2 linked regions of the Nothobranchius furzeri genome follow. The protein of the gene in region 1 purifies or fractionates together with the protein of each later gene. This does not show direct contact. Links are inferred from orthologs where the notes say so. Each region holds a gene or a part of one and is shown on either strand. Other genes may lie near its edges.

Evidence for each region.
Region 2: the proteins of hirip3 (region 1) and casein kinase II subunit alpha' purify together in Homo sapiens (affinity purification with mass spectrometry; 6 studies listed by BioGRID and IntAct, counting the BioPlex papers as one, with this or other methods). This does not show direct contact. The link is inferred for Nothobranchius furzeri from reciprocal best matches to the Homo sapiens genes HIRIP3 and CSNK2A2.

Annotation. Positions count from the first base shown.
Region 1 is NC_091752.1:51,441,445-51,446,398, reverse strand, and holds the start of hirip3 (HIRA-interacting protein 3), read left to right. Parts: upstream 1-1,755; 5' UTR 1,756-1,841; coding exon 1,842-1,915; intron 1,916-2,726; coding exon 2,727-2,847; intron 2,848-4,345; coding exon 4,346-4,490; intron 4,491-4,562; coding exon 4,563-4,910; intron 4,911-4,954. UniProt on the Homo sapiens protein: Histone chaperone that carries a H2A-H2B histone complex and facilitates its deposition onto chromatin.
Region 2 is NC_091749.1:31,567,014-31,571,244, reverse strand, and holds part of casein kinase II subunit alpha', read left to right. Parts: intron 1-3,023; coding exon 3,024-3,107; intron 3,108-3,366; coding exon 3,367-3,477; intron 3,478-3,567; coding exon 3,568-3,669; intron 3,670-4,231.

The DNA of each region.
Region 1 (4,954 bases):
AATTTATTAACCTAATTTATTGTTTGGTATTTAACTTTTGTAACAAATCCAGTGTTTGTGTTACTTATTGCTTAGGTGTAATTCTGCACTCAAATTGTATTTTAGGAAATCAGAAACTTCAGTTCAATGTTTGACAAACTGTGACCAGTTCGTTTGATCTGAGCCATAATCCTTTACTTTCACGTTGTCTTAAACCAGATCACACACAGATTGGCTATGCAGTCACCAAAAAAGGCAGACAAGAGTTTTATTTGCCTCAGGGAGAGGAAGAGTTATTTTCTTTTGAATATTCTGTAGTGACTGGTGCAATCTTAAGCACTCCGAAGAGGGGGGAGAAGAAAGTTTGAATGGGAGATGAGTGTTTGTCAGACCCATAAATGTGGAACTCCTTGAAAAATGCACTAATAATACTTCCATCCTTTGTTCTTGGAAATGTTCTAAATAAATCGCTTATGAAAATGAGCTTTGGCCTCTTTTATTTATTTTATTGTGGGCGATGGTGGCACAGGAGTTAAGTGCTCGTCCCGTAATCAGAAGGTTGCAGGTTCGAGCCCCGCTCAGTCTGTCGCTGTCATTGTGTCCTTGGGCAAGACACTTAACCCACCTTGCCTGCTGGTGGTGGTCAGAGGGACGGGTGGCGCCTGTGCTCGGCAGCCTCGCCTCTGTCAGTGCGCCCCAGGGCACCTGTGGCTACATTGTAGCTCATCCCCAATGGTGTGTGAATGGGTGAATGGCTGATTGTGTTGTAAAGTGCCTTGGGGGGTTCCAGGACTAGAAGGTGTTATATCAAATACAGGCCATTTACCATTTAATTATTTTGTTTTTATGTCTCAGAATGCTCCACAGTGACTAAATAAAACATTGTTCAGAAATGTCATTTGTTTCTGATGATGAGCCATAGTGGGAATTTAAATATTTAATTTTTAGACATGAATGATAGAATGGATTTATGTGGGCTCTGGTTATAGATAGATAATTCAAATGCTAAATGCAAGAATTTTAATTTTTTTGCCTTTGGGTGACCAGGTTTAATGAAACGAATGGAACCCAAGTATAATGGTTCAAAATAACAGAAAAAACACTTGATATTAATTTATCCTTTGAAGAATATTTGCTTTGTATATTTCTAAGAATATAGGGAGCCTAAGTCACACCCATCTGCTTCCAGACCATGGGTCACTGCAGAATGAAAAAATGATTTCAAGTCTAAGGCTAAAACGCTTTTTTCTAATTCTGCTTATGTGCCAAGGATTTCACATATGATGTCCATGAATTTTAAACACGCATTTTAATACCAAGAACTCTTTTATTTTAGGTTTTGTGTGAAAATAAGTCCAGAACTACAAACGCGCGTTACGAAAATGACGTCATCGAACCGCACACGAGAAAAACAAAGGGTAAATGGCTGTAAGTTTAGCGAATTTAAAATCCTTCCTTCAGAAAGAAGCCCCCACCATAAATCTGGCCATTTGGTAAGTAGCAGCTACGCTAGGGGAGAAGAGATTTATGTAGTGACGTCATATATGCGACATGCCGATTTCTAAGTTGTAGTCATGCTAATTTCGAACGCTTACAAGCTGATAAATATCAAAGTACGTGACTGGCGTGGTCGAAACACCCATCATTAGTTTTCTTTTAAATTGCAGTACAACATATGTGTGATCCAGGGCGTAAGGCAAAGCGAAGTAGAAAATAGCTCTTTTAGCCCCGTTGACTTTCGTTCTTGGGACCCATAGTACGGAAGTGACTTCCCTAAAACGTTAGGGGCGTGGTTGTTCAACGTCATTTCCTGGTTTGTTTACGATTCCCGCCACCTGAAATCAAGCGATAAATTCTAGAAGATGGTGCCAGAAAAAGAGAGGAATTTTCTCCGCAGGTTTGTGGTGGATCAACTGCGCCATGAATCAGATCTAAGGTACATTTAAAACCACGTGCTATCATTTAGCGTTTCTTCTAGGTGAAAACGACTTCTTGGCTTTGTCTGCTTGTGTATTTTTACATTAATTTGTCTATTTTAAGGTCTGTTTGCACATCTGGGCGTTAACTGTAGCTGAAAGACTTTTGGGGTTGTTTATTCGACATGGCGTGTAACTAACATCAGAGACGGAGACGTAATCCAACCGTATATTTTAACAATAATTATAATTATACGCAATCAAAGACCAGAAGTTCCAATTTTTAGTTTTACTTTACTTTGGTGTCACAAATAATCGGACATTGAGCTGAAAAAATCGATTAAATATTGATTTATTGGAATGTCTTTAAGCTTATAAACAATATGTAGCGCCCCCTCCTGGTTGCTTGTGGTAGTTATAGCAAATGTTTTTGTTTATCAGAAACTAAATAAGATGTTTTAAGAAGATTGTTTTACTTAATGGGCTGAAAACCACAACAATCTATGCAAAGAGTGGTCTAGTCTGGTCGTTTTGTCCCCAGCAGATCCAGTTTCATGTACAGAATGTTTTGTTTGTTTAATTCTATGAGCTGGAAAAGAAATGTGTGATTTTTGAAAATTAGTATTATCAAAACATCCTTTTATTGGGCATGTTAAAAACGACATATGCATAATTTAATCCGCTTCAAAATTAAGTTGTCCTCTTAAAGGTTAGTAGAATTATTGAGATGCTTTTTATTTTTCTGTCATTTTAAAGGCATGAAAAAATGTGTGAGCACCTTTCTTTGCTCTAAAAGCTGCTCAATGTGTTCATTCTGCTGTTTTCTCTCAGCACGCTCACATTAGGCATACTGAAGAAGAGGTACCTGGCTCTTGTGAAATGTGAGCCATTAAGTCCAGAGGCGAAGAAGTTCATGAAACAAGTGGTGGAGGAAGAACTTCTGAACATGCAGGTAACTGAAACTTAGGATCATTCTACATGTTTGTCATTTCTTCTGTTGACAGTTATTTTTAATGTGGTTATAAGTCCAACCATTTCTCAAACACTGATGAGCTCATCCATGTCACACGTGTTTGTTTTGATCTAAATGCACCGTCCTGTATGCAGAACAAGTCACACAAGCTTCAATGTGCAGAAACTGCTGAGACTAGTGTCCAGGGACCATCCATAAACGTCAACGTCGGTCACAAAAATACTCGATGTTGTCACAAACTATAGAGTCTGCAGAATGCCGGTCCTCTGCTTGGGAGTTTCTGGGTTTGACCCTGCAGCTGATTCTGATTAGCTGCCTTTAGATGAAGAAGAAAAAGGCTGCTCTGTACAACTTGCATTGGATTCAGTGACTTTGACATGTGTACTCCAGCTTTCCACTGGATGCATAAATGGTGCATAAGATTGTAAACGCATTTTACGCGTGAGCATCCTTGCCTCCAGCAATGTTACAGACGCAAAACATCAGTGAAGGCATTCCACGAAGCTGGCCCTGCGATGCCTTGGAAGCACCAGAGATGGATCACACGAGATTTCAGCATTTAACATCATAACAAACAAGAAGAACAGCAGCATGTGTACAAAAAGATCTGTGGTTTCATGGGCAATGACGCACTTTTTTTATTAGTTAAGTGAGTGGAAATCTGCACAACTCTTATTTTGATCTATCTCCTGTCTGACCTGATCTCCGCTGCTGAGCTTGACGCATTCTCGAAGCATTGAGATAAAAAAAATGGACCCAAAGCCTTAGCGGGGCTTCTGGCTCGCATCCAAATCGCGATGCTTCACCACCGGCTTCACGGATGTCATGCAATGCCTGCACATCCGATGGAATGGCAATTACATTTAGTTTTATTAAAATTTCTGTTACTGTTGCCTCACAGTTGGAAGGTTGCAGGTTTGATTCCTGGCTTCAATCTCTCTGTGCGGAGTTGGCTTGTTCACCCCATGCATGCGTGGATCCACTCTGGGTACCCTGGTTTCCTCCCACAGACCAAAAACATCCAGATTATGTTTATTGGAGACTCTAAATTGATCTGAGTGACTGGATGTTTGTCTCTGTCTCTCTGTGGTGGACTGGAGACTTGTCCAGTGTGTCCCCCCACCTCACCTAGTGACTACTGGAATTAGGCACCAGCTGCCCACCACTTCCTTTCTCAGAATCATCAGCGCTTGGAAGTGGAACGGTACAGAGAAGCATTACAGGATGTTGCACCACAGCATGACAGGGGTCATCAATAGAAACAATGGAGGTGTACTCTATTATTCATGTGACATCAGTATGTTTACAGTACGCAACACGGTAGTTCTAGTGAGCATCTTTCCAAAGTAAGAGCGTGCTCGTAAAGCAGGATGTCGTATTATAATGTTTTTGTGATCATTAGAGGCTGAAATAAAAAATACAAGGTATATTAAAAGCATAGTTTTTAAATGATTTCTGTTTATATTGTTTCTTTAAGGAAAATGCTGAAAATGAAAGTGACTCTGAGATCAAGGGGCCCCAAAACAAACGGAAGAGAGAAACCAAGCAAAAAGAGGTGGAAAGTGAAGAAGAAAAAGACCCCCGAGCAAAAAAATCTCGTCGTGTTTCAAGCTCCTCATCAGGTAGGTTGTAACGCAAATATGTATTTAATGTGTCGGTTTCATGGTGCTGTGATGTTAATGTTGATTTTTCAGATTCAGAGGTTGAAGAGAAATGCAAAACAGGAAGTCCAAAACAAGCAAAATCTCACGCTACGGGTGCAGGGAAACGAGTCGGAACAGATGGGAACGCAAAACAGCCGACCACGAGCGAGGATGACTCTTCTGATGAAGAAATGAAGAAGTCAGAACAAAGTGACAGCGAGAATAACGAGAGTCCAGAGAAAATGGCAGAAAAGGAATCGAACACTCCAAAGACGGAAGGGAGAAGTCCCGAAACGAGTGATGGGAAGGAATCGGCGGAGAGTGATGAGAGTGAAAGTGGTTCAGATGGGAAGTCGGAACAAAGAGGCGACAACAGGAAGTCGTCCGGCGCTGAAAATAGTGACCGATGAATTTATACTTATTCAAGTTTTTATTAGTGTTTA
Region 2 (4,231 bases), on another chromosome or scaffold:
GTTTCAAGTGGAAATGCACAGATTCATTGAGAGGGTTAACCCTGCACGCAGAGTTTGAATAAGAACGAGCCCTGCTCACCTGAAAGGGTGATGGGCTCCACTATTCCTCAACCTACACACCCACGGGGAGCCCAAAATTTTATAGCTTCTACCTATATTACATTAATTATACGGACTCTATAGGTGCCACTGCCAGGGATGGTTTTGAACAGAGAGCACTGATCATTGATGTGCTGCAGGCAGCTGTGTCCTGGGCATGGCCCCAGTAACATTCTCCAAAAATATAAAATGACACACAATCATTCATGTCTGCTCAAATTCTTTCTGGTACTTACTTTTAGTCAGGAATTGTCAGAACTCATCACCCCTTAGTCCAGTGACTTCACCTCACTGGTGCAGCCTTGCGTGCACTCCGCTGTTTTGCGGTCAGTAGATGCCTTTGATGTGCTTAGTTCAAAAGTAATCCCTGAGGTGAAAAAGTAGAAAGCCAGGAAACAGTTTTTCTGCAGGATTGAGAGGAGATGCAGGAAGATGAGACGGACAGGACAGGAAAATATTCAAATAAAAAACAATTAAAAAAACAAGTTTACTTTTATAAAGCAATCATTTATAAGCATGTAATATTTATATATTTTATACAATTCAGATCACTTTCAAAACGCAGTCCCACTCCCAGGGCCGTATCAAGGCATTTTGGGGGCCAAGGCAAAATAAACCCCCCTCTCATTGGACTCCCCCGGAAGCCTCTGTAATTCGTGCCCTACGAAGATCCCGTTTCAGCTGATCCTCCCATTTTAATAATAAGCAACAATAAGGCTCAGGGGGTCAAAGGTACCATGCCAAAAAGTCAAAGCCGTGTGTGACCTACTTTTTAAGTAAATTAGAAAGTTTTAAAATGCCAGAGAAACTTATTTTCTGAGAAACCTCATAAAAACGTCTTAATGTAAAGCCCTTCCTCCTCCAATCTTCAGTTTCCTGTGTCTGGGGCCTTCTGGTTTAAACCAACCAATTAGCAAGCAGCTCATTAGCATATTCATGTCCTGGCCAAGTGGGAGGGGTGAACAGCTCTTGTCACAATAAGGTTGATTTAGAGGGGTTTAGCTTGGATTATGCTTGTCTGCGAGGTTCGCACGGCTCCGCGCGGCAAAATTGCGTCATTTTAACAACCACGCCCCTCCACCGCGCCTCCGCACGGCCCAAATTTTCCGCACCGCGCACCTAGGAAATTTTCTAACCACGCGGACGGTCGGATGCGGAAAAACATGGCGGACTGGCAAGAACTAGTATGGCAGAGGTTCATAAATACAGACATTTGTATGATTCAGCTCTCAAAGATCACCGTGATCAGCATGTTGTTAATAATTCTTGGAGAGAAATAGCTCGCACTGTCGGAAAAGACGAGGACGCTGTTAAAAGCTGGAATGCCATGTTGTAAACAGTCATTTTTACTTCTACTATGGTGTAGTGCTGGATGCATGCCGTAGAGCTCCATGCTGCCCCCTACAGTTTGGGAGAATATTGGCTCACCGCAGAGACGAGCCGCATGAACCATAAACACTGCGAGTTGTGAAGCACGTTCCATCCGCGAGCCGCATCACCGCGCGGAAAGTGAATGTGTCAAGCATAAACCAAGCTTTAGAATGGCCTGTATCAGGGCTCCTGGGACAGATGAAAGCCAAAAGAAAATTTCTTATGCTTCTTCGATTCAAAGCAGTGTTTTAGATTGCTGATCAACTGCATTCATTGTCCCCTTTAAATCAATGTTAACAAAAGTAAATACACAATCATGGACCAGATTCGAGACTGTAATGGTGGCAGGATACCTCAGAATAGTGCTACGCCCTCTGTTGTCCTGGCGGGGAATTGTTTTGCAACAATCCCCAGCTGACGGAGAAGTCTGTGACCAAAACGTTTGTCAGTGCGTGTGCGTCTCTCCCTCACGGAGCTGACGGAGAGGTAGAAATTAGGCTTTACAGTTTGCTGAGTCTTTAATGTTATTTGTCGTTAAACAGAGAAGCTTTGGTGCTGTTTTAGAGAAAGATGTTTGTTAAATCTCAGTTTTTTGGCTGTAAAACACAGGTGTTGTTGGTGAGTCTAGTGGATGTGATGAATATGTGCTTGTGCAAAAACCTGTTTCCAGGTCTATTTAGGTGAAACAAGAGGAACTGGAAGTAGGACTTCTTAGAGGGTTGAGCGTGTGCTTTGCTACTGAACACACAGCTCATTTTTTATTTTGTTTCTCCGTGGCTAAATTTACCGGTAGAGCTGTATTTCAGGCTGATCATCTCAGGGTGGATGTACACAGAGAAAATGCCGCTGTCCCATTTTTCTGGTTATTGGGGTCACAATTTCTACACGAGTGGTTACCTGGAAGAAAAGTGAAAGCACCCACACCAGCTTATTTCTGAGAAACTCGGACATCAAGAAAACCTTGAAGAAGTATTTTGGCCAGTTTGAAATGTGTTGTATGTAAAAGTTCTGACTTTTATTTGTTGTATATGACTTCCTGAGTGGGCTCAGCAGAAATATTTCTGCCAACACAACCCTGGAATGTAATGAAAAGGATTTTCACAAACTGCTTGTAAAGCCTTGGTGACTTGAGCTGTTAACAGGACGTTTGAGAGGAACGCCATCCACCAGCAATCTATATTCAGCAAATAAAAAAATCAAAACCCTAGAAAAAAGAATGTTTAAGATGGCCAACCAGTCCCATGTTGGCGTGATGAGACAGCCACACAGTCAGAGAACAATGTACCTTCTTTGTAGAAGTGTTACCTGTAAAGAAAAGGAAGAACATTTTCATAACATAATCATCCATTCCTGTTTTTAAAACATTAATACTTAAAGAGACAAATACTGAAGATTGACTCTGAATAAATTAGCCAAACATAAATAGTCTGTGTGACATAAACAGTAAAGTCCATTCTCAGTGCTAAACAGGCCAGATTATAAACCTGATAATCTGCCTTTTGGAAGGAGAAACTCGCTCTGCTCAACAGTTGAAATCTCTGTTTTTGTTTAAGGCTCTGGACTACTGTCACAGCATGGGCATCATGCACAGAGACGTGAAGCCCCACAACGTGATGATCGACCACCAGCTGAGGAAGGTGCTGCTCAGTTGTTTATTTACTCCAAAAACAACACCTCAGAAACAATCATGTGCATCTGTGTGTCCATTAATGAATCTGGCACTGACAAACTTTTACATGAGTCACTGATGCCCTGTTGCATCAATAGTTCATGTTTAAGTCAAACACACCCGGTTTTTGATGGGATATAAAATGACACTAATAACTTGTGATGTTGTAGATTTTACTCGAGGGAAACATGAGAGGAACCCAGTAACGTGTGTGTGTTCTGCCACAGCTCCGGCTCATAGATTGGGGTTTGGCTGAATTTTACCATCCCGCTCAGGAATACAACGTCAGGGTGGCCTCTCGTTATTTCAAAGGCCCCGAGCTGCTCGTGGACTATCAGGTAGATTTATTCAGACAAAAGCACAACTCTGAGTCAGGCGGTGTGAACTCTGATGTCATGTTAGGGTTCAACTGTGTTTTTCTGTTTTAGATGTATGATTATAGTTTGGACATGTGGAGTTTAGGCTGCATGTTGGCCAGCATGATTTTCCTCAAGGAGCCATTTTTCCACGGCCAAGACAACTATGATCAGGTAAGAGGTGAACAAATGATGTGTAAAGGAGGACAGATACATATTAATAAAGATGAGTTTTACTCTCTGACTAAATAACATAAAATTTAAGTTATAATGTTGACTCATTATTTGTGTCAGACAAATATAAAAAAAGATGCTTTTAATCCCAGAAGAACATTTCTTTCCTCCACATGAGTGGATGAATTAAACACGTTTTTGTTGATATTTTGTGAATGATCTCTGTCGGTGGCAGTAGAACAACACTCACAAGGTACTGCACTGTAATGTGGCTCAGTGGCGCCCCCTGCTTTGTGTCTTAAAACTAACATCACAGCAAGTAATCCAACAGAAACTGGGTTAACTCAACCTGTCCTTAAAGTTGTGGATCACTCAAATCATATTTTAATTATTTCTGATTATAATCGGTCACTCTGAGGTTCAAATGTAGGTTGAAAATGAAAATAGTCTCCTACACCTATCTGCTGCATTAGCTTCTTCTGATAGAAAATAGACAGTAAAACTCTAGGATTGGAAAAGCCTGACAGATCTACGTCGCACTGTCACTTAACATTCATGGACT